Linked DNA regions of Tamandua tetradactyla. The protein of the gene in region 1 interacts with the protein of each later gene in a pairwise test. Links are inferred from orthologs where the notes say so. Each region holds a gene or a part of one and is shown on either strand. Other genes may lie near its edges.

What was found.
Region 2: the proteins of ZMYND19 (region 1) and SAXO1 interact in binary tests that used the Homo sapiens proteins (3 or more experiments, as listed by UniProt). The two-hybrid records come from large-scale screens. The link is inferred for Tamandua tetradactyla from reciprocal best matches to the Homo sapiens genes ZMYND19 and SAXO1.
Region 3: the proteins of ZMYND19 (region 1) and ENOX1 interact in binary tests that used the Homo sapiens proteins (3 or more experiments, as listed by UniProt). The two-hybrid records come from large-scale screens. The link is inferred for Tamandua tetradactyla from reciprocal best matches to the Homo sapiens genes ZMYND19 and ENOX1.
Region 4: the proteins of ZMYND19 (region 1) and NAB2 interact in binary tests that used the Homo sapiens proteins (3 or more experiments, as listed by UniProt). The two-hybrid records come from large-scale screens. The link is inferred for Tamandua tetradactyla from reciprocal best matches to the Homo sapiens genes ZMYND19 and NAB2.

Annotation. Positions count from the first base shown.
Region 1 is NC_135328.1:130,322,568-130,330,400, forward strand, and holds the start of ZMYND19 (zinc finger MYND domain-containing protein 19), read left to right. Parts: upstream 1-4,812; 5' UTR 4,813-4,890; coding exon 4,891-4,941; intron 4,942-5,486; exon of another isoform or gene 5,487-6,283; intron 6,284-6,320; coding exon 6,321-6,380; intron 6,381-6,603; exon of another isoform or gene 6,604-7,275; coding exon 7,276-7,382; exon of another isoform or gene 7,383-7,833. UniProt on the Homo sapiens protein: May be involved as a regulatory molecule in GPR24/MCH-R1 signaling.
Region 2 is NC_135328.1:78,081,340-78,088,219, forward strand, and holds the start of SAXO1 (stabilizer of axonemal microtubules 1), read left to right. Parts: upstream 1-3,868; 5' UTR 3,869-4,182; coding exon 4,183-4,229; intron 4,230-6,880. UniProt on the Homo sapiens protein: May play a role in the regulation of cilium length. Stabilizes microtubules at low temperature.
Region 3 is NC_135330.1:115,493,506-115,500,657, forward strand, and holds the start of ENOX1 (ecto-NOX disulfide-thiol exchanger 1), read left to right. Parts: upstream 1-4,136; 5' UTR 4,137-5,104; intron 5,105-7,152. UniProt on the Homo sapiens protein: Probably acts as a terminal oxidase of plasma electron transport from cytosolic NAD(P)H via hydroquinones to acceptors at the cell surface.
Region 4 is NC_135333.1:124,235,547-124,243,150, reverse strand, and holds the start of NAB2 (NGFI-A-binding protein 2), read right to left. Parts: upstream 3,003-7,604; 5' UTR 2,809-3,002; coding exon 2,726-2,808; intron 1,327-2,725; coding exon 453-1,326; intron 1-452. UniProt on the Homo sapiens protein: Acts as a transcriptional repressor for zinc finger transcription factors EGR1 and EGR2. Isoform 2 lacks repression ability.

The DNA.
Region 1 (7,833 bases):
CCCATAGTGTTTATTGCTTTCTAACACAACATACTGCTTAGTTATGCATATTTTCTGCCTCTCTCACTGGAATGTGAACAGGTTTCTGTTTGTTTCGTTCACTAAAGTACCCTCTAGAGTCTATAACACCATGGTGGATGCTCAAAGCTGCTGAGCAATGCCACAGTGACCAGTGGACTTGGCAGTAGAGGTTATCAGGACTTCAACAAGGGTAGTTGGAGTGGAGTGGTGGGGATGGAAGTCAAGAGACTTGGTGTGCTGGTCAGAATGGCCCCCAAGGTTGTTCCTCATCCCTGGAACCTATACATGAGTCATATTACATGACAAATGGGACTTTGCGAATGTCGCAAGGGTTACTGATTTGGTTTCCTAGGCTGCTCCAAGCAAATACCATGAAATGGTTCAACTTAAACAAAGGAATTATTTTTTCAAAAGTAATGATTTAGTAACTATAAGCAAGACAAAGCAATATAATTGTGCTTCTTCTGCAGACTTGGGACGATGAAATGTTTAGTTCCAATTTTTCCCATATAAACTTGAAACAATATTCATATAGAAGATACATCCTCACAAACAACTGATGGGTGATGAACACACACCAAAGTTTGACCAAAGCAAAACAGAAACTGAAAATTGTTGGGGTTATTCATATTTAAATTCAACATGCTCACTCTACTTAAAAATTAAAATCTGTAGATTTTAATAATTTGCTTCCACTTTTGTGCATAACAAATTGCTTCTACTTCCAGATATTATGGAGAAGGCATATAACTATAAACTATGGGAATTTATTTGCTTACTGCTAAAATCTGAGAAAATGTCCAAGTCAAGCCATCATTAGGTGAAGCCTTCTTCCTGAAGACCGGCTGCTGGCGATCCTGGGCTCCTCTGCCACATGGCCAGGCACATGCCGGATCTGCTGGTCTTTCCCTTCTCTTCCAAGTTTTGTTTCATTGCTTTCAGCTTCCTGCTTCAGGGGCTTTCTCTCTCTGTTTATTTCATTAATAAAGGACTCCAGTAAGAGGATTAAGGTCCATTCTGATTGAGGTGGGTCACACCTTAGCTGAAGTAGCCTCGTCAAAAGGTCCTGCTTACAAATGTTAAAATAAATTTAGTTTGAAATGCTAGTGATCAATGAAAGGGAGGGGTAAGGGGTATGGTATGTAAAATTTTTTTGTTTGTTTGTTTTACTATTCTGTTGTCTTTTTATTTCTTTTTCTGAATTAATGCAAATGTTCTAAGAAATGATCATGATGATGAATATGTAACTATGTGATGATATTGTGAATTACTGATAATATATGTAGAACGGAATGAGTATATATTAAAAATGTTTGTGTTTCTTTCTTGTAATTTTTTTTTTTAATTAATAAAAAATTAAGGAAAAAAGAAGGTCCTGCTTACAGTGATTCACACGCACAGGAATGGGTTAACGTTAAGAACATGTTTTTCTGGGGTATATACAGCTTCAAACCACCAGTCAGTACCTGAAAATACAGAGATTATCTGAGTGGGCCCACTCTGATTACATTAAGCACTCAAAAGCAGTTAACGTTCTCTGGCTGAAGGAAGGAAGATGAGGCAGAAGGGGAGGTTAGAGAGATTCAAAGTGTGAGGACTTAACCTGCCACTGCTCGCTCTGAAGGTGAAGGGGTCCATGAGCCAGGAAATGCAGGTGACCTCTAGAGTCTGAGAATGACCCAAAGTTTAAAAAAAAAGCAAAGAAACAGGCACCTCCTACAACCACTGTCAAAGACCTGAAAGAGGCTAGAAGTGGATTCTGCCCCAGAGCCTCCAGAAAGCAGCTCCAAGGCAGCAAACTCTTCGGCTTGGCATTGTGAAACCAACCAAAGCCACGAGGACTTCTGATATATAGAACTGGGAGATGATAAATTTATATTTTTTAAAGCCACTACATTTCTGGCAATCTGTTATGAAACAGTAGAAAACACAGAGGAGGCAAGAAGCACAGACAATTCTTTCAAGAATATGTGCTGTGAAAGGCAGCAGGAATATGGGGCAGTAGCTGGAGGCAGATGTGGGGCCCAGGGTTTTCCTTCTGGGGAGGGGGGGATGTTGGTGGGAGTGGGAGCTGCAAGAGAGAGAACTGTCACCTCACGTCATCCTTACACATCACCAAGAGGTAGGCAATGCTGTGCTCATTATACTTGGGGACTGAATTGAAACCCAAGAGGTAAAGTTGTTACATTGCTCAAAGCTGTCCAGGTACATGTCCCCTGCAAGACAGGTGGACCCTGCCCATAGGACCTTGCACTGACATCTCTGCTCTCCATCACCTGATGCTTTTCTCCTGCTGTGGACCTAGTTCTGCTAGACATGCTGAGGGCTGAACTTCCCCAGGAGCAGCACCCAGCCCATGACTGCCGAGGTCAGGGGTGAGTACCCCTCACCCCTTGGTGAGGTAACCTGAGAGTGTCCTGTGCTGCCTCTGAGGCCCCAGCGCAGCCGCTGTCATTGGGCTGGATCAACAACGCTCCCTGCTGGCTACCCTTCTCTCCTGCATGGCATCTCCAGGCCCTCCCATTGCTTCGTGTCCCCTCACAAACGGCTGGCACTCAAATTCCTATTACATGTTGACCTCTGGGGAAACCCACATTAAGGCACCAAAGCTTTCCCACCATTCTACATGAGCACCCAGCTGCCTCCACCACATAAAGCCCAACCTCTTTATGGCACCTGTGCTGGTTTGAATTGATTTATGTACCCTAGAAAAGGGGTGTTTTAATCCTAATCAATCTTGTGGGAGCAACATCTCTTCTAATCCCTATTCAGCACTATAGTTCAGAGACTTGATTAGGTTATCTCCACGGAGATGTGACTCAATCAATTGCGGATATTAAACATAATTAGATGGAGACGTGTCTCCACCCATTCTAGGTGGGTCTTGATTGGTTTATTGGAATCCTATAGAAGAGGAGACATTTTGGAGAGATTTCCTTTTGAGAACAAGTAGGGAGCCACAAAACCATGACAGAAGGACGAGAGACCCACAGGGACTACCAGCCAGTGACCTTTGGAGATGAAGAAGGAAAACGCTTCCAGGAAACTTTATGAAGCAAGAAACCTGGAGAGGAAGTTAGCAGATGCCTTGTTCGCCATGTGCCTTTCCACTTGAGAGAGAAACCCTGAACTTCATCGGCCTTCTTGAATCAAGGTATCTTTCCCTGGATGACTTAGATTGGACATTTCTATAGACTTGCTTTAATTGGGACATTTTCACAGCTTTAGAACTGTAAACTTGTAACTTATTAAATTCCTCTTTTTAAAAGCCATTCCATTTTTGGTATATTGCATTACTGCAGCTAGCAAACTAGAACAGCACTCTAATTCCATACAGAACTTTCTAATAATCTCACTACGTTTATGTCAATCTGAGGTTGGCAGGACATGTGCTGCGAGCAGTAAGGACCAGATCCTCCATCTCCACCCAGGCCAGGACCTGCCAGTCCTTCCTGTCCTCCAGGACATTCAGGGGAACAGACAAGTCTCAAGGGATCCACAGATGGAATTTCTGGTCTCTCACAAAAAACCCTTTGCAGATCTTGTCTCTAAAACATAACCCAGCATACAAGAAAGGAGGTTTGGGGGATCACCCTCTGTTGATGGACACAGGACCTGCCCCACCTCAATCCTGGCAGTGGGGCGGGGAAGAGGGGCAGTACTGCTCCTGTTTCGATCCCGACGCATGCCAGCCAAGGCCCCACTTAGCTCCTCTCTGAGAGGGTCTCAGCTTTCTTGCTGGAGTCTGTAACCCAGATGGTCCCTGGAGTTCCTGTTTCCGGGAAGAACTGGTCACAGGACTTTCTGTCCCCAGCAGAAATTCTCCATCCTGGAGCATCAGCCCAGCTTACAGTGAGGGTCGGTGGACGCTGAGGATGAACTGCGGGGTTAAAGCCCCCAGATCACGTGGTGGGCCTGACCTAGCCTCCGCACAGAGAAGGGAGGAGAGCAGGCAAACCAGGAGACACGAGGACAGTTACATGACCTGGCCAGCAAGCAAGCCCCGAGGCTCAGATGGGCAAGGCCTTGTGCTGCCTTTCCAGAGGCACCCCTCCCGCCTCCCAGCGTCTGGCCAAGGCTTGCAGTCCGTCCGCCCCCTCCCTCCACCTTCCCACCGCCAGGGCCCACGCGTCTCTCCCAGTCTCCTCGTTGCTCCTGACTCCACACAGCTGCCTCAGGATCCGTCTCGAAAGGACGTCGGGGCCTCCGCTGGACACAGCGCGGGAGGGGCGGTCTTGGCGAGGGCACCGGCAAGGAGGCAGGGTCGGGCCGGGGGCGGCCTGGTCGGCGGGGTCTCGGCCTGAGGCCGGCGAGGTCTGGGCCTGGGACCGCATGGCCCGGGCCGGGGTCCGGCGGGGTCCGGCCAAAGGTCAGCGGGATCCCGGCCGGGGCCGCCAAGCCTCCGCCGCCGCAGCCAAAGCTTCCCGCGAAACTGACGTCGGTGCCGAGCCGGCCGCGCAGGCGCCGCCCCCCGCCCTGCCCCTCCCCCGCGCTCGCTTTGCCCCTAGGGCGCCGGCGCACTCGCCCGTCTCCTATTGGCCGCTGTGTGTCGGCGCGCGCCGGTCGGCGCGGTGCGCACCTCGTGATTGGTCGGCGGCCGCGGGCGGGGGTGTGTCGGCGGCGCCCCGCCCCCTCGGCTCGCGGCGGTGCGCGCGGCAGCGGCGGCGGCGGTGGCGGCGGCGGCGCGTGGCAGGTCCGGCGGCGGTGGCGACGGCGGCGGCCCGATCCCGGCCCAGCCTCGTCCCGTCGCGTCTGGGGCCCGCCCGAACGCCGGCCCCGACCTCGGACAAGCGCGCCGCGGCCTCGCCCCTGCCCGGGCCCCAGCGCCTCCCGGGGGAGCGGCGCTGCCGGGCGAGCGCAGGCCCGGCCATGACCGACTTCAAGCTGGGCATCGTGCGGCTCGGCCGGGTGGCCGGGAAGGTGAGCAGGGAGAGGGCGCGGTGGGAGCCAGGCCAGGCCGGGGTCGGCGGGCGGCGCGGTGCAGCCTTCTCGCAGGGCGTGCGGCGCGGCGGGCTCCGGCCTCCGACCCAGGGCTCTCGCCTTCGGCCCGCGGACGCACCTGGTTGCTGCTGCTGGTCCAGCCCCGCGGGCCCGCTGCGCGTGCGGGACGCATGGCCTGCCCTCGGAGCAAGCGCCCCGCGCCTCGTCCCGCTTCACCTGGCCCGGTCCAGGTGTGCCTGCTATCTGGGGCCTGTACCTGCGGCCGCACGGGTCGAACGCAGCGCCCTTTCTGAGGCAGTGCCACTTCCACACCTGCTAAAGGGGGTCCGGTGTGGACTGGTGGCCAAGTTCTGCGTCTCTCGGTTAACAGGGGTGCTTAGGGGCTCGTTTTAATGCTGCCAAGGGTTGGCCACATTTGGCAGAGCGTCCACAGGTTTCTCCAAAGCAGGGACAGGAAGCCAGGGTCTCCAGGGCCTCCCTCTGCTGCCATCCGCTCTTGGGCTTTTTCATTCCCTTTACCTGGCCCTAACCTTTACGTGTTTGTCATTGGCACCTGTGAGCCGGGAGGCTTGGCTGTTTCCAGCGGCTGGCCCCTGCAGCTGTACCAGCCACTTGACCTTAGCCTGGGTGGGAACCCGACTCCTTCACCAGTGGCAGAGATTTCTGGTGGGAGAGAGAAGAGGCAGTGTGCAGTCAGATGAAGATGAAGCCCTTTCAGATCCGCTAGCAGTAGTAACTTTCCAAGAGTTAGACCAGTCATGTGACCGTTTTCTTCTTTTTCTGCAAGAGCTCCAGCAGCAGCTGTTGGGGATGTAGTTTTCTAAGCGAAGCTTGAGTTCCCCATTAAATTCTGAGACCCCTTCAAAGGGAAAGATATCAGTGACTGATGCCGTATCTCTCATCACTTGAATCTCTTGTTTGGAACATTTCGAATAGACAGCTAACCAGAATAGTTTATTGAACACCTGTGTACTTACCACCCGTCCTAATTAGTTAAACAGTAACTGAGACATCCTGAATATTCTTCTCAGTCATGCCCCCTCCCTCTGCTCCAGTGAGCCCACCATCTCTGACTAGGTAGAAGCGAGCAGTCAGCCTGATTCAGTGTCACTCTCTTGGGGAATCTCATGTGCATGGAATCAGACTCCTCTGGACAGACGAAACCCTCTCCCACTTGTATTCTAACACATCCACCTGTGTCTTACCCCATGCCAAGGTGAGTCCTTTGTCGACCTGAAGGGGCCTTTAGTTATCTTCTCCTTCACGAGAAACCACAGTTCATCCTGCTCTTGGCCATAATTTGAGTGCCTCATGCTGATCCCTAGTGTAATGATTTGAAACATCTGGTTAATTTCTAGACGAAGTACACACTGATAGATGAACAAGACATCCCGCTGGTGGAGAGCTACTCCTTCGAGGTAAGGACAGTCTGGCCCTTTTCTGGTCTGCTTTCGGTTAGCCCATGGGAGCCTTGGGAGGGCCCGGAGAAATGAGTTTTCTGCCTTGTGCTATGGGAGTGAGAGACCCCAAACCCAGATATATCCTGCCTCCCATGTCCAAAGTCCTGGTCTCTACCTGGAGTTCCAATGACATTGCCCACAGGACCTCCCGCCTGACCCCTGGGATGTGGCCTTTCCTCACCTCTACTCTGGGTGTTAACTTCTCTTCTTTAAAAAACAAAGCAAATTTTGTCATTTTTGTGATAAAACATCTGTGAAATTGACTATTGTCCCTGTTCCTTAGTGAGACTCTGCCGTGTACCTCAGCCTGTCTTCCTGCCTTGGGCTGCCAGTTCTCCTGTATGCCACAAACATCTTCCATTCTCCAATCACCTATCTGCGCCCTTGGTGCTCTCATGCCTCTCCCTGGTGGACTCTACTTGACAAACTTCTCTTCACCAAAGTGTTCCCTTCTCTTCATGTCGCTCTGCCATGTTACATTTCAGCCCTTGACATTTTTTACCATGATTGTTTGATCTGGGGGCTTGTCTCTTATTAGACTGTGAGCCTTTTCAGGGTTAGGAAAACATATTTGCCTTTGTGTCCACAGTATTTTGCAGAGTTATTCATGGGCATTTCTTGCCTGAGCAGAAGAAAGAGTAATTGTCGGACATGGTTGGCTTCTCAGTGCCCATGTGGAAAACTGCCATGGCAAGAGAGCGAGTCCTAGGGAGGGTCCCATGGTCTTAGGGACTGGGCTGGCATTTGTTTGTCTGGCTTATTTGTTTCACTTGTTTTTTTCTACAAAGAATTTGAATTGTTCCCCAGAATGACTGAGGCTTTTTAAACACACCTTTTCTTTCTTCCTTTTCAGGCCCGAATGGAAGTAGATGCAGATGGAAATGGTGCTAAGATATTTGCCTATGCCTTTGACAAAAACCGAGGACGGGGATCAGGACGGCTACTTCATGAGCTGCTGTGGTGGGTATTTTCGAGCTGCCTCTTGCTGTCTATTTATTTGTCTGCCAGTGTCCCCTCCATGAGTCCTGGGTGAGCCTGGATGCGTGCGGGGTGCTGGAGGCAGCAGTTGCCTGCTCCTGATTGAGGTTACGCATGAGACCCACTTGCCTCACCTTTGAGTCTTGGGGTTGTTCTTGGATCTTGGCCACTAACCCAAAAGAATGGCTACTGCATATTGTGTTACTTCGGGGGACCTAAAAGTCCTCGTATACCAAGTGGACTTGCCGTTGAGGCATTGGCTCCTGACAGGGTGGGCTGGTCCCTTTGCTGGGCTCACACTGAGCCTGTGGGAGTGCATGGGGAAGGGGCAGCTGGGGTTCTGGAATGTTTGGGAGCACTTAGAGGACCAGCTATCTCTTGGCTGTCCCTCGGCTGTGCGTCTGGGTTCTGTCCTTGGCTCTGGGCAGTGTAG
Region 2 (6,880 bases), about 52 Mb from region 1:
TGGGTTTTTTTTGCTAAAACTAGAGAGTCAATGTAGGAGGGTTCAGGCCAGCAATTTGAAGTGGCTCTCAGGAGCAAGTAAGTTAGAGAAACACTGCATCAAGGGGAGGTTCTCAAAGCCTGGTCCTGGACCCAGGAGAATCAGCAGCGCTTAGGAACTTGTTAGAAATGAATATTTTTGGCCCCACACATGCCTTTCTGAATCAGAAACTCCAGGGGGTAAGAGCCTGGCAAACTGGTGCTTATCAAGCCTTCCAGGTGATTCTGATGCACAAAATCTGAAAACCAGTGCTTCAAGGGTCCACATTACCACCTGGAAGATTGCGCACCGTATGACCAGTAGAGGCCTGGCGCTTTAAACTGCTTTGGTCTCAAGGGAGCAAGGTCTGTGTGTGGGAGCAATTCTCAAAAGGCACTTGAAGCCACAGGCGTGGATTTCCCCAAGGAAGATCTGGAAAGGGCATTTTTTTTTTTATTAATTTTTAAATTTAAAAAAAAGACTAGAAAGAAACACAAACATTCTTAACATATGGTCATCCATTCTACATATATAATCAGTAATTCACAATATCATCACATAGTTGCATATTGATCATCATGATCATTTCTTAGAACATTTGCATCAATTCAGAAAAAGAAAAAAAACAGAAAAAGAAATCAAACGAAAACAGAAAAAAAAATTATACATACCATACCCCTTACCCCTTCCTTTCATTGATCACTAGCATTTCAAAATAAATTTATTTTAACAATTGTTCCCCCTATTATTTATTTTTATTCCATATGTTCTACTCGTCTGTTAACAAGGTAGATAAAAGGAGCATCAGACACAAGGTTTTCACAATTACACAGTCACATTGCGAAAGCTATATCATTATTCAATCATCTCCAAGAAACATGGCTACTGGAACACAGCTCTACATCTTCAGGCAGTTCCCTCCAGCCTCTCCATTACATCCTGAATAACAAGGTGATATGTACTTAATGAGTAAGAATAACCTCCAGAATGACCTCTCGACTCTGGAATCTCTCAGCCATTGACACTTTGTCTCATTTCACTCTTCCCCCTTTTGGTCCAGAAGGTTTTCTCAATCCCTTGATGCTGAGTCACAGCTCATTCTAGGGTTTTTCTCAATCCTGTGATGCTGAGTCTCAGCTCATTCTAGGATTTCTGTCCCAAGTTGCCAGGAAGGTCCACACCCCTGGGAGTCATGTCCCATGTAGACAGGGGGAGGGTGGTGAGTTGGCTTGATGTGTTGGCTGGAGAGAGAGGCCACATCTGAGCAACAAAAGAGGCTCTCTTGGGGGCGACTCTTAGGCCTAATTTTAAGTAGGCTTGACCTATCCTTTGAGGGATTATGTATCATATGAACAAGCCCCAAGACTGGGGGCTCAGCCTAGAGCTTTGGTTGTCCACACTGCTTGTGAGAATATCAAGAATTCAACTTGGGGAGGTTGAATTTTCCCCTGTTCTCACCATTCCCCGAAGGGGACTTTGCAAATACTTTTCCACTCACTGATTGAACCACTCTGGGATTCATCGGGTCATCACGGTGGAAAAATCAACAAAATCTCATGTCCTACCCAAGGTTCCATGTACTTATGATGTTCAACCAAGCTATCCTCATAAGTTATATTAGGAAATGCACTAGTCAAAATATAAATTTTGCACCAAATAAACATTTTTTGCTTTAGTCTCACACATAAGTTGAAATTTTAAAATATTAATTACCATCTATTTTCAGCACCCTGCAGTAATGACATTCCTTTGTGCTTCCTCATGCAAAAACATTTTTTAAATTTGCACATTTAGTTACTATCATGATACACTCTAGGCATTCCTAGATTATACCATCTCAATCTTTAACATCTGTCTTTCTTTCTGATTTCATTTATGTCCCCAGCCCTCCTCCCTCAATCATTCTCACATTCAGCTTCATTCAGTGTTTTAACATAATTGTATTACAGTTAGGTAGTATTGTGCTGTCCATTTCTGAGTTTTTATATTCAGTCCTGTTGCACAATCTGTATCTCTTTAGCTCCAATTACCCAATATCTTACGCTATTTCTATCTCCTGGTGGTCTCTGTTACCAGCGAAACATTCCAAGTTTATTCACTAATGTCAGTTCATATCAGTGAGACCACACAGTATTTGTCCTTTTGTTTCTGGCTAATCTCACTCAGCATAATGTCCTTAAGGTCCATTCATGTTGTTACATACTTCATAACTTTATTCTGTCTTACAGCTGCATAATATTCCACCGTATGTATATACCGCCGTTTGTTTAGCCACTCGTCTGTTGATGGACGTTTTGGCTGTTTCCATCTCTTTGCAGTTGTAAATAATGCTGCTATAAACATTTGTGTGCCAATGTCTGTTTGTGTCTTTGCCCTTATGTCCTTTGAGTAGATACCTAGCAACGGTACTGCCAGGTCATATGGCAATTCTATATTCAGCTTTTTGAGGAACCGCCAAACTGCCTTCCACAGTGGTTGCACCATTTGACATTCCCACCAACAGTGGATAAGTGTGCCTCTTTCTCCACATCCTCTCCAGCTCTTGTCATTTTCTGTTTTGTTGATAATGGCCGTTCTGGTGGGTGTGAGATGATATCTCATTGTGGTTTTGATTTGCATTTCTCTAATGGCCAGGGAAGTTGAGCATCTCTTCATGTGCCTTTTGGCCATTTGTATTTCCTCTTCTGAGAAGTATCTGTTCAAGTCTTCTTCCCATTTTGTAATTGGATTGGCTGTCTTTTTGTTGTTGAGTCGAACAATCTCTTTATAAATTCTGGATACTAGAACTTTATCTGCTATGTTGTTTCCAAATATTGTCTCCCATTGTGTAGGCTGTCTTTTTACTTTCTTGATGAAGTTCTTTGATGCACAAATGTGTTTAATTTTGAGGAGTTCCCATTTCTTTCTTTCTGTCTTCAATGCTCTTGCTTTGGGTGTAAGGTCTAGAAAACCGCCTCCAAGTATAAGATTTATAAGATATTTCCCTATCTTTTCTTCTAACACTTTTATGGTCTTAGATCTAATGTTTAGGTCTTTGATCCAATTTGAGTTAACTTTTGTATAGGGTGTGAGATATGGGTCCTCTTTCATTCTTTTGCATATGGATATCCAGTTCTCTAGGGACCATTTATTGAAGAGACTGTTCTGTCCCAGGTGAGTTGGCTTGACTGCCTTATCAAAGATCAAATGTCCATAGATGAGAGGGTCTATATCTGAACACTCTATCCGATCCCATTGGTCAGCATATCTATCTTTATGCCAGTACCATGCTGTTTTGACCACTGTAGCTTCATAATATGCCTTAAAATCAGGTAGCGTGAGACCTCCGACTTCATTTTTTTTTTCTCAGGATACTTTTAGCTATTTGGGGCACCCTGCCCTTCCGGATAAATTTGGTTATTGGTTTTTCTATTTCTGAAAAGGAAGTTTTTGGGATTTTAATTTGTATTGCATTGTACCTGTAAATCAATTTAGGTAGAATCGACATCTTAACTATATTTAGTCTGGAAAGGGCATTTAAGGTTAGTCTTCTGGAGGTCAAGGGATGCATTTCTATAAAAAAAGAGAACCACGGATCCTAGAGACAGAAAATGCCACATAATGTGATGGCAGTGGCCTTTTCAGCTTTTCTGTACAGGCGATCGTGGCATTTGCTGATAAGCGCACCCACGAGCTTTCCAAAGTCCACCTTCCTTTATGTTTTTCCAAGGTCCAGTGGGGTAAATCTTGTCCTGGGCTTTCCAAGTGGGGTACTGGGGACTCCCTCACGTCACAAGTGGCCCTTGTGATGTCATTGCCATCTAGATATGTGCCCTTCCTGGCCCACGACGTCACAGAGAGTCCTCATTTCCCCTGGCGGGACACCGCTCCACGTGCATGGGTCCGGGGCGCAGAGGCTGGGGCGGCCGCGTGCATGGGGAGGTGGCCAGGGCTGGCGCGCCATCCGCCCTCCCTGCTGCCCCTCGTGCAAGGCCAGCATAAGGAAGGCAACAGATCACAGGGCTTTGCAAAAGGGCCTCTTAAATTTTCTTTTGAATAAATACGGAGAACATTTGCCCAGGACCTTGAGACTTGGTGTGCCCCCAGTGAGGCGGCTGGGGCACACCGGGCGGCAGGGGCGGCAGGGGCGGCAGGGGATGTTCTACGTGGACACAGGTCCTTAGGATGGCCCCTTCGAAGAGGAAGTGCATCTGCGACTTGTGCTCTTGCGGGTAAGGTTGCCCGGCCCAGCGCAAGGCGGGGGGCTGGGCGTGGGGTGTGGGCCTCTGGAGGTAAGCGAAGCCACTTTCTGGAAAGCTAGGCTGAGGACTCATCTTGTGTTGATTAATCAGGCAGCATCGCGGTGGATTCTCCACCTGTCAACCATTATTATTAGGCTGCAGTGTTATGGCAGATTCATCGCCATCCTTACCGTCAGCTAGAGTTTAAAGCTCTGGGGTTGAATCAATCCTGGCGAATGGGGCTGCACCCCCTTTCCCCTGTTCAGCCACTTCACAGCTGTGCGGAGGTTGCAACATGGACGCAGCTCGGCAGAGAGTTTGTGCTCCCTTCCCTGTAGCTGGAGAAAGTATCAGATGGAAAATCCCTTGTCCAGTCTTGTGGGTTTTTTTTTTTTTTTGGTTGTGCTTTTCGGAATGGAATGGAGATGAGGAAGAGGGTTTCTTTAATGTAACTGAGTTTCTCAGATAAATTGTGGTTACTTTGTCAAAGAAGTATAAAGTTTTTGTAAAACTTGTTTCCATGCGGTGTAAAATTGAAGGAGAATAATGAAAGGGAGATTGCTTTCACAAGCTATCAGGTTTCTCCTGGCCCTTTGCCTTTAGGACCATGCCTGGGGTGAAGCACAGTTACGGACAGGTGGTCCCAGGGAGACATTCTCCTCATCAGAGTTTTGTGGCTGCCTACTCAGTGTCAGGCACACTGGGAGCTGAGCCTCTCACCTGCTTCACAGGACAACTTGGGGAGCCACCAAGATGGGGCAGCAGAGAAGCAACAGATAAGAGGGTGGGCACTGGGCCAGCTCTCCTGTGTTGCCACTCCTTGTGGATCTAGGGCAGGTAACTGGACTTCTCCATGCCATATGCCATAGTTTCTTCTTCTGTATCACCTGTGCCTACCAGGTAGGATTGTAAGGAATAAATGAATTATGCATGTGAGCCTCCTGAAATCTGAAAAAAGTGCTTTCCAATTTAATATGCTTCATGAATACAACAAAAAATGACATCATTGTAGACGGAGGAGGCGGGGATTAAAGGACTCACTAAAATCTGTGTTACAAGGTTTGAAACCTTGTACCATCTCTAGCATGGCTGAATGGTTCTCAACCCTGGCTGCTCATTAGAATCACCTGGGGTGGGGGTGGGTTAAAGCTACTGTCAGTTGCTCAGGCTGCTATATCACAATCTCTGATGGAGGGCCCCAGGCAGTGCCCTTTGGGCGATTCTGACCATTTGCCAGGATTGGGAACCCCTGAGCTGGATCACAAACTTGTGTATGCCTTTTTTTGTATGCTGTATGGCGGGCGGGGATGGTCACGTTTCATTATTTTTCCATGTGAGTATCCTGTTGTTGCAGCACCATTTGTTGAATTTTTGCTTACTTGTGTGTTTTTTGTTTGTTTGTTTGTTTTGGGGAGTGCATGGACCAGGAATCGAACCCAAGTCTCCCGCATGTCAGGCAAGAATTCTACCATTGAACTACCCTCGCACCTCCTGTGCCTTGTTTTTAAGCTTTGTTAAGTAGGACTCTCTTCCGTAGACTTGCTCCTGTAACCTGTGGCTGCCTAGAAGGGCCTCCCTGGATTTCAACTCTGTCTGGACTAAGGGAAACCACTGGATTCACCCTGGGATCCCCCTCCCTGCTCCATAGCTTGGAGACTGTACTAAGGGTGTGGTGGGGGTGCTATTCACAAAAACAAAGGGGCTATCGCCTTTGTTTCCCACCTCTCGGGGATCATTATTCTTTGCGTGATGTTTGCATGTCTTGAAAAGCCTTATATCATATATTTTGTACAGTTTTTAAAGTTTTCCCTGTTACTCCACCTTTGCCCAAAATGGAAGGGGAGAACGCATTGTTCCATTGGCGTTGCCTCCTTCCCTTTCTCCTGCTCTTGGGTTTTGGGATAATGCCTCAAGTAAGCTATTTGCACTCACATTCTTGTTTCAGGATCTGCTTTTGGGGATGCTCAAGTGAAGACAGCTTTAATTGTTTCTTTTTATTTTGTGGTCTGCCTTAGCTGGCTTAGGTTTCCCTTTTTATCTAAAGGTCCCCTCCATCCAGGGGCCTTTACAGCACCCCTTCTGCCTCCTCCTTTTCTGGGAGCAGACCCCCCTCATTCCCCACTCTCTCCTGCAGTCCCAATTTCCCTTTCTTCATTAGCTCTTTCACTTAAGTGTCCAAACATGGGAAGAGGCCCTCTATCTAAGAAAAATATACACTTATTTAAAAGCAGCAAACCCCCCCAAAAAAGTCCCCTAGTTCTTCCATGTGCTATTCAGTTCTATTTTTCTCCCCATGGTCAGTCAGATCTAACGAACCAGTGACAAACACCTGCTGCCTCTACCCCTCATCCTGGCTCGCCCTGATAATCCTGCAGCCTGCTTCATCTCCTTTACCCTGGGGGAACAATTTTAATTCAGCCAGCATTTTCTTGGGCTTCCCGTGGTGTCCAATATTGGGCTCACTGCTATGGGGTTCATGGTGTTTGGTGGTCCTTGCCCTAAGGGCGTCTGGAGTGGGGTAGGCTATAGGACCTGGGAGGATTTCTCCTGCTGGGCTGTCACTCCTTGATATGTTGTTCTAGTTTGCTAGCTGCTGGAATGCAACACACCAGAGATGGTTTGGCTTTTAATAAAAGGGAATT
Region 3 (7,152 bases), on another chromosome or scaffold:
AAAACTAATTTTGAAATATCAAAAATATATATTCCCAGTGCCTGCCCATGAAATATTTATTTATATTTATTTATAATAAATATATACATATTTATTCATTGCTATAATGTAACAATATACACATTGTTCAGCATTATATGTACATGGGTATGACATGAGGTGCTTAAAGACAAAGTCCAATTTGGGGAGCTACTTATTTGACTGATTAAAAATATTTATTGAACACTTTGTAAGTGTTCTATATTATTCTAGACACTAGGTATACTAGGTCAGAAAACAAAATTGCAGTTCAGACTTCACAGAGCTGAACAGCTAATGAGGGGTGAACCAGTTAAAAAACATACAAACTAATGAATATAGAATTGAATTTCAATTGATGTTATAAAAAAAAGATAAAGTAGCCTTAAGATAGGGTAATGGAAGTGTTACTTTAAATAGGGTGGTCAGGGAAGACCTCTCTGAGGAGGCCACATTTAAGGGGAAACGTGAGTGAATGGAGGGATTATATATCCAAGCATATATCTGGGAGAAGAGCCTTTCAGGCAGAGGAAACCAGCATGTGTGAAGGCCCAGAGGCTAGAGTGTGCTTGATGCATTTGAGGACAGCAAGCAGACCAGATAGCTGTTTCAGAGTGAGCTGAGCATAGGGGAACATGGTCGGAGAACCAGGAAGGGATGGTGGTGGAGCTGATGCGGAACGGTCACATTGCAAACATGTTTTCCTGGACTCAGCCACTGGAAGGGAATGTGAGAGAAATCAGTGTGTCAAGGATGACTCCAAAGAGTTGGCTTCAGCTCTGAGGTGACTGGTGGAATCTGCTCTCTATCAAGATGAGACCCAGAGAGTCATGCATGTCCAGGACAAGGAATCTGAGGCTGGAGCCTAAAGATCCAAGAATCCTGCTACATAAATATGCTTGACACTGAAAGGAGCTAGGGAGTGTGGGCAGTTGGAAGTTAATCAGTTTGTAGTGTCTCTTTCTAGACTATGGAGTGAGAACTTGTACATAGTCACAGATTTTTCAGGTGACACTATCAAAACAGTGAATTTAGTAAGAAAGCTTGAGGTTAACTAAAGGGGTCTGAAGAGCGAGATAATAATATAAAGAAGGCAGGTGGGTGGCCCTCGTACTTTCCTGAAACTTATGCTGAGGGTGTGGCTGTAGGGGGTAGAAAGGAAGGGATAGATTCCATAGGCACAATGAAAATAGAAAGGGAGGAAAAAAATAAACTTGGTTAGAACCTCAGTGTTAACTGAAGAATAGTAATGAATTTGATTTTTAAAAAATGATTTCCTCGTTGATTATGTTTGTTGAACACCATGTAATCTGAGATATCCTACACATGAATTACTTGATTGGGAAGGAAGGTCCGATGATTGAGGGACTACATATTCCATGCTTTTTCCATTCTATGGCATTGATTGATGACGAATGGTTAGACTTACTTTCTCTGAAGCCAGAAATATACCTCAGATACCAAGTAGTTCAATTATGTTCTAACATGGGGGTATCTCAGAGGCTACCTGAAGGGAGGGGAGTGAGAGGGAAGGGGAAAGGACAGGGATCCTTATCACTTGTACCACACCAGCTCCACATTGGCTGAAAGCCTTTGCTTCTTCAAAAGATTTTGCCTGAAGAAAAGTTTAGCTATTGAAAGGGAGTCATTGATCTAGTTCACTATCCTTATTTGTCAGTTGAGAAAAGAGTCTAACTGATTTGACTTCCTCAATTTTGAAGGATTATTTTACACTTGTAATCTTACACACCTGCCTCTGTGGTCATTAGAGCAGATACTATAAACCACCATTTAAAAAATATGAACTCAGGTTTCTTGCCTTCTAATCTGGACCTCTTAGAACTACATCCTGGTTCCAGATTTTCTGGCATGGGGTCAGGCGGTCTTGAGGCTACATTTTGAGACTAACCATACTAGATTTGCTTAAAGAAACAGCCCTTACAGCAGGTAGGTCAGGAATTATTATTGACCTTTCTGAATAGGAAACAGACCCAGAGGTCAAAATGACTCACCCGAGGATGCGTTGTAACTGTGATGTGGTTGAGACCCAAATTCTGTGTTCTTTCCACAAAACCACTGGTTCTCCAATGTAGGTCTACTAACAGTGACTTTGCATGTTGAAGTTTTTCCATGATCCATAACAAAATGGGGAAAATGTGGGTGAGCATTGTGAGTGTTTTAAATAAAAACTCTGTTCATTCAGAGATCCTATTTTTAATATTAAAATCCCTTCTTTATGAAATGATGATTAATTACTATATATAGTAGCTGTGTTTTTTTAATGGCCTGAAATCCATTTCCAAATCTGGAAACTAAAGCTTAATGCATTGACTCTTTGGGTCTCCATGAAAAGTCAACATGATACAAACAGTGGAGATCTGCCTGCCACACCTGTCCTAGGTGCCTAGGTGTGTTCTCCAGCCACGCATGTGGTAGGAAGTGTTTTAGACAAGATGTTAGGAAACCTAGATTCTAATCTCATCTCTACTGTGAATTAGCTATGTGACTTTGGCTAATCACTTCCTTTATCTGGACCTGTATCATCATCTAGGTTTCTGTGTGCTTACAGATAATTTCTGTATTTTGAAGTAAGAGAATTATTAAAATGGATTGGAGGTTATTTTCCTTCATTATGAGTAATTCATCAACTCTACCATATTTGTACAAAATGACTAATACAATTTTTTTATTAAGCCCAGTACACAAAAATCTCATTAAGCCAATACTGGCTTTCCCAAAATAGTATTTTATTCAAAGCAAATGCTATTCCTTAGCAATCTAGATCTCTGGGGTTTAGTAGTAAAAATATTGAATTATCTGAATCTAGTTAATGGAAGACTCTTTTTTTCCCCAATTACCCTATTTTTAAATGGATTTTTCCTTATACTTCAAGAATTGGATGTGACTGAGGTAGATATCAAAGAACATCAGCCTGTAACTGATCAGAAAAAATGGATTCACCTTTATATCCACAGTCTTCCTCAAATGCTCTTGTCCACAGATAAATTATCAGATATGTAGGATTTGATTCAATTCATGCTTCTATTTAAATCAGTCTCCATGGCATCTTATAAATACTTGAATGCCACAGCAGCTTTAAAACACTAATTTTCATCGAGGGCAACTCTTCTGACTTGCAGCATTTATTTTTTCATGTTTTCAGTAATCTCATACTGAGCCCATGCTATCTGCTGAATATTGCTAGGTTTCATGGACAGAACTCCAGACTTCAGGGAACTCCTGGTCCAGGAAAAGGGGTAGGCTTGCAAATATATCATCATAATAGCATGTAAGCGCTGCTAGAAGATTTCCATTCTCAGTCCTTCTTTACACTCACACTTCTATTCCTGCTCACTCCCAGCAATGGCCTTCTAGGACAGGATGCCTCTTTGGTGCAAGCTGGAACTTCAGGGCAGAAGATTCAGTGGTGCCCTCAGTCCCTTATATAGAGGTGACTCCACAGCTCTCCTCTTGGGTGTAAGGATAGTCACTGGTGCCATGGTAAAGAGAATTTGGGCACAGCCCCTCTTGAAGAGAAGCAGGAATGTGGGATCCAGATCAGTCATAGTTAAGAAACCTGGGATGAGCCTTTAGCATCAGTCACTGGACAGTCCTGACTGCTTCTCTTTACAGGCCTATAATATCCTATATCATCACACCAGATTGTACCCAAATATGTCTTGTCAGGGTGGCCATCTCATTGTTCTAAAGTCGAACATGTCTCTTTGATGCTAAGTGTTTTATTAATCAGCTTCCTTTCTCTTCCCCAACTCTATAATATCAGCAAAACAATGAAGTTTATTGATTTGTGTTTTCCATAATACACACCCAAAATGTAGAATCAAGTCATTCTCTTATTATAGGCAAAAGCCTGTTTCCAGACAGGAGGGTTCAGTGTACCTCATACAGAGGGTCTGGACAAAAGTCAAATTATGTTTATTTTTCCAGCAGCCATCACTGAGAGAATGGGCTAGAGCATGTTCCTCCAGGATTTGTTTGGAAAATAGTGGCATGTCCTCTTGTATCCCTGTACTAAGGAAACACTATGTTTCAGGGAACGTATATATACATTTACAGATTCCTAGAAGTTACTATGAAAGAGTCTCCCTCCCTCCCTTCTCTCCTCCTTCCCTGGCTTATATCTAAATCAGAAGAAATCGTATTGTTTGGATTTGGTGAATTACAAGGGTTAGAACAAGGCCCTATTAGTTTGTTTCTTTCTGCTTCTGTCTTAAGTGTGGGTAGTAGGGGTGAGGGGTGGAAAGGAAAGACTTTGAGTTCATGGGAGGGTAGGTGCCCCCCCTCCTCTAGACCCCTCAAATTATTATTGACTGTGTATGTTTTCTACTTGACTGTGCCCTGAAATGTTTTTTTGTTGTTTGACTTCCCCCACAGTATTCTGGCTCCTTACAGACAGGAATTATATCTTATATGAGAACATCTTCCACCCGAGTCAGGATAATACTGTTTGTGTAGTTGGGTATAAGAGAGTGGAATGAAGAGTCAATCAGTGGAGACCTACCTTCTCTGCATCCGGTAACCCATGATAATTCCAGACAGCCACATCTTCTAGATAGATAGTTATCTTTCTTTACACATATTTGGCATCAAATCCTATTTTTAAAAGCATAGCAGCTGATAGGCATAATTATAGCCTATGACTAATCACTCTCTCTTGGACTCCAGGTGGATGTACAAACATCTCTTTCCCCCCCAGTTCAGTCAAGCCCCATTCTGCCTCTGCCTGCCCCACCCAGGTGACGTGAGTGCCTGCATCACAATTCACTCTGCCTGGCGGTAGGTTGAAGGGGCAGCCAAACGATGTCAGCCTCTTTATGATACTGCATCCTCCCCCACAACCTGCCTACCCTCCCACATCATCCACTGGACCCAGCCAAGGTGTTTGGCTCCTGTTCTCAGGGAGCTAGGAGACATGAGCTTTTAGACTCAAGACAGAGCTTGAATGCCAGTTCTATCCCTTACTAGCTTTATGGTCTTGGAAAAATGGCTTAGCCTCACTTCTGTCATCTATTGAAATGAAGATAATGAAACCTACCTCACAGAGTTGTTCTGAAAATTAAATAAGGTAAGCAATAAATGTTGATTTTTTTCCCCTTTTCTCTTCCCTGAAATTATTACGGGAGAGAGGATAAGGGAACATCTGTGTGATCTTTTGTGTGTGATTAGTAGGTGCAGTCTTTGTAGTTGTACTCCATGAAGTAATATCACAGTTTTTGTGAAATTGCAGATTATTTCCTATTGAATTGGCATAGATGATGCTAAAACCCTCTGCAGATAATGAAGGAAAAAAGTATAGATTTCTGTGTTGGAAGAAAAGTCTCTTTAGCTTAAGTTTGATTAGCATTCATAGTACTGAACTGTTCTGTATTGTGTCTATGAAAAGGAAGGTAGTCTAAAATTCTTATACTAGGTCCTTAAAACTACTTCTCTACAAGATAGGGCTCTTGGTATATGCAGTTAAGTGTAGCTGGAGATTAACTTTGCAGAAGCATGAATCTCTGCTGTCATATAGGTGCCCTTCACCTCTAAAATGGTTATACTGGAAGAATTTTAATTGCTCATCTTCTGAGGTATTGCGAAAGCAGCCAGCCTTTTGGGGCTCATCTGTGGTGATCTTAGCAACCCTGATTTTGCCAGCTCACTTTTTTTTTTCCTTATGTGGTACAAATATGCCACACTGAAAAGATATCAGAAGTTTAAATGATTTATCAGCTATCTTTATTTAGTTAATTGTGTCCCCCCTCCCCCCCCCCGTGGGCTACAGAGGAGATTGTTGATGGAAGGATTGATTTCACGGTGTGATGGGCAGTGCATGGTGTTGGGCTACCTTTATCCTTGTGGTTTCTGACATGGAGCCTGTCCTGCCCCTGCCTTCCCTGTGTCCCCAACATTAGCCTCTCTTCCTGCTTACTGCTGGGTTCATCAAAAGGCGTTCTGGGCCCTGGACCTGCTTCCTTTCTCTTCCCCAACTCTGTGCTTACATCATGCCTACCCTTTCAGTGCCACTTTCTCCTCAGATGCCTTCTTCTCTGCCTCGCTGATGGCTACCATGGCAAAGCTGCCCTGGTCCTATGTCTGTGCAGTGCCTTTGGTGGTACTGATGCTCATGGGTCCCTGTCCTCCCTCCACACCGAGATAAAAGACTGAAGAGAAAGCAGATGTCTTTTTTTTGATCCCTCCAGCTATCCTAGCTGCCTGCACATAGGAGGAGATAAGTCAGTACTTGCTAATTATATTGGGGAATTTTTAAAAGAATTTAAATAAAACAGTCAGGAAAGTATAAAAACAAACTTGCCTTCTTGCTTCAGGGAATTTAGTAATAAGGTAATAAGAGCTTTGGGATAACTTGGATGCATGCAAGGTGACTCTTATACTTACGGGAATGCAATAGACAACCAGGGGAAATGCCAGTAGAGTTCGTTCTTGCAAAGGTTGCTAGGAAAGGGACTCTAAGGCTCACTTCTGACACCCTAGAGAAGGCTTAGTAAAAAGATGAGTACTAACAAGGATGAGGGTAATGAGTCTAGATCACTAAGACAGTGGGGAAGCCAATCAGTAACGTTGTCACAATTCTAATCTAGAGTTCATGTGTTTATTCTACTATTTGGTGAGCATTTTAAAAATCATTTACTATGGGCTAAATACTCTGCTGGGTTCTGGGAACACTAAGCTGAATGAGGCCCAGGCTGGTGTGTGGGAAACTCATATAGCCCAGTGGAGAGGCAGATACATTTGTGGACACTTAAAAAGCAATGTGAACACTCAAGGATGAAGACTCATACATATCATGGGGGGCCAAGGAGAGACTCTGAATTCATTGGAATCTGCATCCAGTTTCTCAGTCTAAGTCAGGAATATAGAGGGGAGGCACCTTGTAGAGATGGCAAGGACATTAAGCATGAATCTGGGGTTGTAAGCAGGGCTGATTATGGCCCAAAACTATAAGATTATGGCTCATAGGTCAGGAAAGGAAACATCAAAGGAGATTTTATATTATAAAGCATTCCTTAGGCTTTCTGTTCTTGGTTTGGCCTCCTCTTGATACTGACTTCTTTCTCTGCCTAAGGCCCGTTCCTGGAATCTGCTCTGTTGTCTCTTGGTGTTTGCTTTCTG
Region 4 (7,604 bases), on another chromosome or scaffold:
TGTGGACATGGGCAGCCAGGGCAGTCAGAACCCTAATTCCCCCCATTGCCTTTCCTGGGCCTTCTTACAGCTTTCCACCATCAGAGGAGGAGCCCATCCATAGGATGTCTGGTTGGTTTTTACGCTATACAGGAGTTTTCTGAGGGAGGAGGACAGAGGCCAGCACCTACAATTCTGAGAAACGCTCCAGGGCCGCCTCCACTACTACTGGGTCCTGAGTGACACCGAGCTGGAAAGCTGGGTCCCCCATGTCTCTGCTTTCCCGTCAGTTAAGAATGGAAACATTGTAGCTGCTGGGGTTGAGATACGTCGGGGAGGGGGGCATGGGTAAGCTTGGGGGGCATGGGTAAGCTTGGGGGGCATGGGTAAGCTTGGGGAGCACTAAGATTCTTGGAGGTGAGTGGGTTGAGGCTTAGGAATCAAGAACCAACCTGGGAGCCCAAGGCCCTCACCTCATGCAGGCTGAGCTGCTTGCCCTCCCGCCGTTTGGAGTCAAAACGGCCATAGATGATGCTGTACTTGCGGATCTCCTCTTCCTTCTGGCTATCATTATCATCCATCTCAAAGATATGCCCCACGCTCCGAGCCAGCTTCTTATTCAGCTTCAGCAGGGATGTTACTTCCCCAGCATCCCCCCTTGGGAAGCTCCGGAAGATCCTGTCCACACTCTCCACCACCATGCGTACCATCTCTGGCTCCAGTCGGTCTGGACCACCCCCAGTCCCACCTGCTGCCAGACCCCCAGCCCCAGTCCCTTCAGGAACTCCTCCCCCTGCAGGTGGGGAGAAGGGTGGCGAGCCAGCCTCCTCTTCTCCTCCCGCCCCAATGTCTGACTCTGGAGTGCTCCGTCCTGGCCAGATCCGGGGATCCCCTGCTCCAGGGCCCCCTGGCAGCGGTGACAGCTTCTCCCCAAGTTCCAGGGGGCTCTTAGGGCTAAAACTGCGGGCACTGCCCGCCTTTTCCCCTGGGCTGCCATGCCCGTTGCTCATGCTCCCTTTCCGGGTACCCGCCGTCTCAGAGATCTTGAAGAGTGGGATGCTAGAGACGGGCACGGCAGGCACCGGCTGGCTGAAAAGCCCTGGATTGGTGGCCCACTCTCTCAGTGCCTTCTGCAGGCGACGGACATGGAGAGGCTTGGTGGCCATGCCCACGAGGGCCATGATCTCCAGGAACTCCTCCTCACCCGCCTCGCACAGCTGCTGCACGTCGTCCCCTCCCTGCTGGATGAAGGTCTCATAGTAGGAAAGGAGGTTGGCACGCTGCAGGACCCGGTACAGCTGCAGCTCCCCCAGTGTCCGAGGCAGTGCCATAGCTTGGGCACTGGGCCTGCGGAGGAGGTACACAGAGTGAGGCAATCGGTATAAGTCCCTCTGCTGGGGACCATCCCATACCCACAACTGTCCTTTCATGTCTTCCCTTCTTTTGAATGCTCTCTCTGCCCACTGCCCAGGCCTAAGCACAGACTATGAGAATCAGACACTCTGCAAAACCTTAGATCATCCAGTGCCATCTCAGACTGCTTGGGTGCACCTAAAACCAGTGCTCAGTCCCTACAGAAGTCAAAGACTCTAAGTCCCTATCTTCAGTTTTTACCCTTCAGCTCCCAAGCTAGCCAGCACATCCCTGGAATTGCTGAACCTTTGTGCCCCTCAGAACAGTCTTCACCTTCATCCTAAACACCCAGCAGCTCTCAACACCACCTGGGCGACATCCCATGCTCAGGTGACTGTAAGACCACCTCTCTTCCCACTGTGGACACTGAGCCCACTGATGGCTGAATCCTTGATGGCATTTTGCATTTTGCCCCGATGGCTAACAAGGAGGTGTGGCCCCTTCCCTGCCTCACTCAGTGAACCATATGAGCCTCTCTCCTTAGCTCCCTCCTCTTCCTTTAGGTGTTCTCAAGGCACCCTTGCTCACTACCCCCAGTTCTTCCCCTCCTTTCTGGGTTGCCCAATGCCCCACACTTGGCCCCTCTCCTGGCAGTGACCTTCTCATCTGCTTAACAGGCCTGTTCCTTCAGCTCAGGCATGGGGGGGTGGTAAGGGAGGGGCGACTCAATTGTTCTGCTCTGGGGCCGTTCCGCCCCCACACCCTCCCACAGCGGTAGCGTCTGTGGGCGAAAAAATGCCTGGGGGCTCTCGCCTACCCTCCTCTCCCTCATTTTCCACCCACATCTTCAAATAGAGTGGGGGAGTGGCTCAAGGCGGGAGAGGCAGCACTCCAACAGTTGCCCCCACCTCCACCCCGCTGTGAATAAAGGCACAGAAATGGGAAGAGAGAGCTTAACGCATCCTCTGCTTGCCCAGTGTCCCGCAGATGCTTCCTTGGCTCAAACGCGCCGGTTCTCTCAGGTGGGAGTCAACGTCAGACTAAACAAGCTGAAGAGGCCCTCCTCGGACACTTCTGCCACCTAGAGCTCCCGGGGTTCCCTGGCACTTGGGCGGGGGGGGGGGGGGAGCTTCCGCATTCTTTGACCGGTTCCCTGCCAGGTCATGCTCACAGAGTAAAAGGCGAGGGGGAACTAGGTACAACTCTTTCTTATCCCAAATCCCTGCCCCCTCCCAGGGCCCCCTAATTCCAAGACTTACCCCCTTTTCCATCAGTCTCCACCCCCCACCCCCGTCCCGCTTTCCCTCTTCCTCCCTCGACCTCCGCCCTTTGGACCCCATTTGAGTCCGGCTCCACCCACTCCACTTCCCACCGCTTCCCTTTGCTCACTAACTTGAGTCTGGGCTGCGGGATCTGGCGGGCGCTGTCCCCTCCGCCCGGCGGCTGCTCGGCTGTGGGGGAGGGTGCTCTGTGCATGGACGGTCGGAGACTACCGGGGCTGCCCCTCTCGGTGCCTGGCACTCGGCGCCCGGTGCGCGCTGCGCTCTTCCCGGCGCGCGAAGCCGTGTCCGCCGCTGTCCAGGCTCCGTCCCTCCCTCCACGTCTCCTCTCTTCGAGCCTCCGCGCCTCTGCCTGTGCCTCTGCGCCCCCCCCACCCTCCCCAGCAGCGCTTGCCGCCTCTCCGTGCCTCCGCCTCCGCAGGACGCACGGGGAGCGAGGCCCGGCGCTGCGCTGGCTGGCGGGCTGGCGGGCGGAGGGCGTGGGCAGAGCCGGTGGCGGGGGGCGGAGGCCGGGGGCGAGGGGCGGGCACCCGGGCCTCTCGGCCGCGGAGATACCGCGGCAGAGAGGCTGAGGGAGGCGGAGACTGGGGGGGAGGGATTGCGGAGCAGTAAGCGGGGGCGGGGACTCGGAGCCGGGGCGCCGACTTGGGGACCGAGGTGACCGAGAACGGACTGTGGAGGGCGGGCTTGGGGACCCAGCGGGCGGGGAGAGGTCGCCCCGAGCCGCCCACGCCGGATGCACAGCCGGTCCTCTCCGCGCCCACGTACCCACGTGAGCTCCCCGCCGGCCACATTACCCCCCCCACTTCTCTGAGCTGAGAGCCGAGTGTCACAACCACGCACAGGTACACAAAGACAGAGAAGTGCACACGCGCTGAAACAACTCAAGAACGTTCGCTGCCCACACTCAGGTCTCGCGGTGCTGTGCGTGTGAATGTTAGGAGGGAGCTAGGAAAGTTGGCGGAGGCTCCTGGGCGCGCGGCTCTTTCTGCGCGCAGCTGACTCCCGTGCGGTTTGCACTTAGGGCAAGTCTCCGAGCGTGAGGCTGAGTGAGACTCCCTTAGATGTTCCGGCGCCCTTATTCAGCCCCAAAGGAATAATTTGGGGAGGCCACTTTCGGAGAACGAGGCTAGCTCCGTCCCTGCCTCGCGTCGCTGCAGGAGTTTGGGGAACAGGAATTGGGGTGGTTATGCTGGAGTTCACCACTTAGACGTGCGTAGATTAAACGGGTCGGAAGTTGTTAGCGCGTAGGTCAGGCAGGGGGCGGAGACACTCCGCCCTCCCCTACCTGTCGCCACCTATTTGTTGAGGGGGACCCGCCCCTTAGCAATTCTGTGTGGCAAACCTGTATTAGGGAAGATACCCGTCTGGAGACGTCTATTAAATGGTCTTGCCGGGAAGAGTCAAGTGGAATTCCCGCCTGAGGCTGGAGCGTTCGACGTGGCTTCCTACGGAAGAACTGGAGGGAGGAGCGCCTTGAAGGAGCCAGGCTCCCTCCTCAACCCACCGTCTCCTACCCCTTAGTTTTTCCCCATCTGGTTTCCATTTCACTCCCTCCCACGGTTGGGAGGGCCGGGGCGGAGGGGTAAGCTTGCGGGGGCTCTGAGGGCCCCGCCCAGCCGCCAAAGGCCCTGGGGTAAAAAGGGGTGGGGCGGGGCAGGGGTGGGAGTGGTAGGAAGAGAATGGTTAGGCCAGAGACAAGGTTCCCCCTAGTCTGAAACCTCAGCTCCGCCCCACCCCGCCGTTCCACACTTTTGAATGGTCCAGAGCTTAGCGGAGCGTGGGTGGCGTGGGCGGGGGCCGGTTCTGCATTCCGGCCGGGCCTTTAGGTCTCTGATGAGGTAGGGAGGTTGTTGGCCGTGGGTGGGGGGTGGGGGGTGGGGGATGGATTTCGGTAGTTAATATTTTCCTTCCCATCTCATTAAGCACCAAACACAGTGGGGGGCTTGTAGCAACGAGCACTGCCCCCCTCTCCTCCCGACTCCCCATCCCGCAACCAGAGGCGCGCCTAGACAGGCTCAGTCCGGGCACGCTCCCCGACCCTCCTCTGATGTCAGTGGGCACGGCCCCTCCCCCACTCCAGCTATGGTTATTTTGGATCCTGGGCTGCCAGCCGCTGGCCCCGGGTTTCCATGTGCCCCCTCCCTCCACCTGCCCACGCTCCTCGTGACGCACATCCTCCGCCCACGCAGCCTCTGTTAGAGGCGCCCCTCTCCCTCCCACCCGGGCCCCCTTGGGGCGGTGCTGAGCCCCGGGATCCGGAGGGAGACTCTGGCCCAGGGAGGAGGGCGGAGCCGGGGGTGGGAACCTACTAGGCCCGCGCGCCTGGGTTCCAGCTTCGGAAAGAGGACGAGGGAGGAGCCTGGGGCCTCTCCCCGGTCCTGGAGCAGGTACTCGGCTAGAGAGGAAGGTGGGAAGAAAAGTCCCGCGGACTGGGCTTGCCCACTTATCTGCGGGAGCTGGTGGGGGTGGGGTGTCCGGGTGCCAACGTGTATGTGTGTGAAGGAGTTAAACTCCCGAGTGTTTATAACTGTTTCTCAAGGTTGTCCTGAGATTGAAATGAGACAATGTATGTGAAAACTGCTTGTAAATTGTAAAATGCTAAGTAAATCTGAGACGCTGTCACTGGTTTGTGCCTCTCTACCCTGAAATTATGTATTTTTGTTTCTTTACATCTACTTTTGTATATGTGTGTCTGTCTCTCTCTAGGTTTGTATGAGTCCCAAAGCGTGGATTTTTAAAAAGTGATATATAATGTTAAAATCATTGACTTGTCGGGCCCCGTCGAGGCCCAGAGCGCCCCCGCAGCCGGAGCTGCTGAGATGTTTGTTCTTCGCTTCCCTCCCACTCCTATCACCCCCAACTCCCTCCCACTCCCTTCCGTTGAGAACAAGGAATTTCCAGCTTTGGGAAAAGGGAAAGAGACAAAGAGAGAATGAGACTATGAGAAGCTATAGAAAAGCATAAAGATAAGAGACAGATTGGAGGGGATATGACAGAGGGGAGTGGAATCCATACAAAAAAATCTTCCTGGTCTTTTCGCCGTGCATCCCATTCTCTCCAGTGGCTCCTTTTCTCTTTCCGACCACTTTCCTACCTGACTCAACTACCCGGCCCCGTTCCCCTACCCACCCCACCCCCGCCTTTTCCCTCAGTGTTTTCTGAGGCAAGTAGAGTAAATGTCCCATTTAATCAAGGATTAGTACTTTATTTTATGGTCCAGGCGGGTCTCTTTCAGGAAGCGTTTCTGCAGCAAAGCAGTATCTTCAGTCCCAGTTTTCCAAGAAGACAGGAAGAGGTAGGGAAGAAACGGGGTGGAAGTGTAAAGGAAGAGGAAAACCAGAAGGATTTTCATTGCCACGCGTAGACTTTCATCGTGCAGATTTCAGTGTTTATTCCTCCCCTCACGTTTTCACCAAACCAGTTCCCACTCAGCAAAGTCTGGCTCACATGTCACCTTCCGGGATCCTGCTTCCTAGATCCTCTCCAGTCCTCCACGCAGAGATTATTCCTCCCACCTCCACGGCCTCTGGACTCTTTCAATTATAGTTTGTTTCACCCTCAGCCCAAGACCTCTCTAGGCTGGGCCCTCAGAATTGAATGAATTGATGATGGTGCTTTGAGGCCTGAGGAGCTTTGAAAAGGGCAGCCCTGTAGATATCACTCCAATTGGGGCTAAACCTAGACAAGGCAGTTAAGTAGAGAAGTTGGTTTTCCACATCTGTCGAAAATCAGCTTCCAGGGAGTCTCACAAGTTTGGCTCCTTGACCTTCTAAAATGTCTACTTTTTTGGTCATTGAATTTACACCCAGATCTAAAGGAAGAGGCTGAAATCCTTCCTGGTAATAGAAAGGTACTGTAGTAGGGAAAAACTCTGAACTTCACCCAAGCATTGGAGCCTTTGAGAAGTGGATAAGCTTTTTTTTTTGCTGGTAGTCTCAGGTGACGCCAGTCCAAAGTCTGATTCCCGAATGTCTTTTGTTTTAAGATTATATAGGCCAGCTTCCAGAGCGGGAGTCACCATGGGAATGGACAGTGATGGTGTTGTAAGCAAACACTTCCTCTAGCTTGTGGGGCGGGAGTTACCGTGGGAATGGATAGGGATGGATAGGGGTTAGTTGCAAGCTCTTTTAGCTGATATTTCTTATCTGGAAAACAGACACTTCGTCTGGCTAAGTGGGCAGAACTGGGCATGCCTAGGCAGGTACAGTAGACATTTTCTTTCAGATAGCATGTTTTTACACATTCTTGAAAATACACAAATTTATAAAGTCATTCCAGCCAGTAAATGCAACAATAACTGGAGTCACTCTTATGAACAACCTCATTCCACCCTTTTGAGGATATTATTCATCACATTTTATTTTACAGATGCAGCACCGTTTTCATTTGTAGGGACTGGTTTATTTTTATGATGGTTCGAGGGGTGCAGGCCTCTGAGATTAAATAAGTGGGAGGCAGTTTTTCTGTCTACTAAGGCTTCTATAGTTCTACTTATACTTTAATAAGCAGGGGAAGAGGCAGAGGAACATAAGACACATACTAAGCAGCACTAAAACACTTCCAGTTAGAGTTTTGAATTCTCCAAAGGTTGAGAACCACCCTCTGAACAGGTTTTTGGGTTTGAGCTGTTCCAGGTCTGAACCAGGACATGGGCTAGGGTTTTCATGTGATTGGTGATTTCCTTTATCACTTTTCCTAGGTTTTCTAACTGCAGGCAACAGGAGTATGGGGTGGTGGTCCTGCAGGGACAAAGGGAAAGGGCAAGGAAGATTAACATTTCAATGTTTTGCAACTTATATAGGAAAGGAGGCGTCACCTGGATACATGGATAATGCCAGTAAATTAAAGTAAAAGTTTTGGGGAAGTAATGAAGACAGATTACTTCTGCAAGTACTAACATTGCTAGATACATGACATATGCGAACACAAGGATAAAAGATGCTGAACTGCAGACATGGCAAGCTGCATCACTCATTTCATAAAAAACTA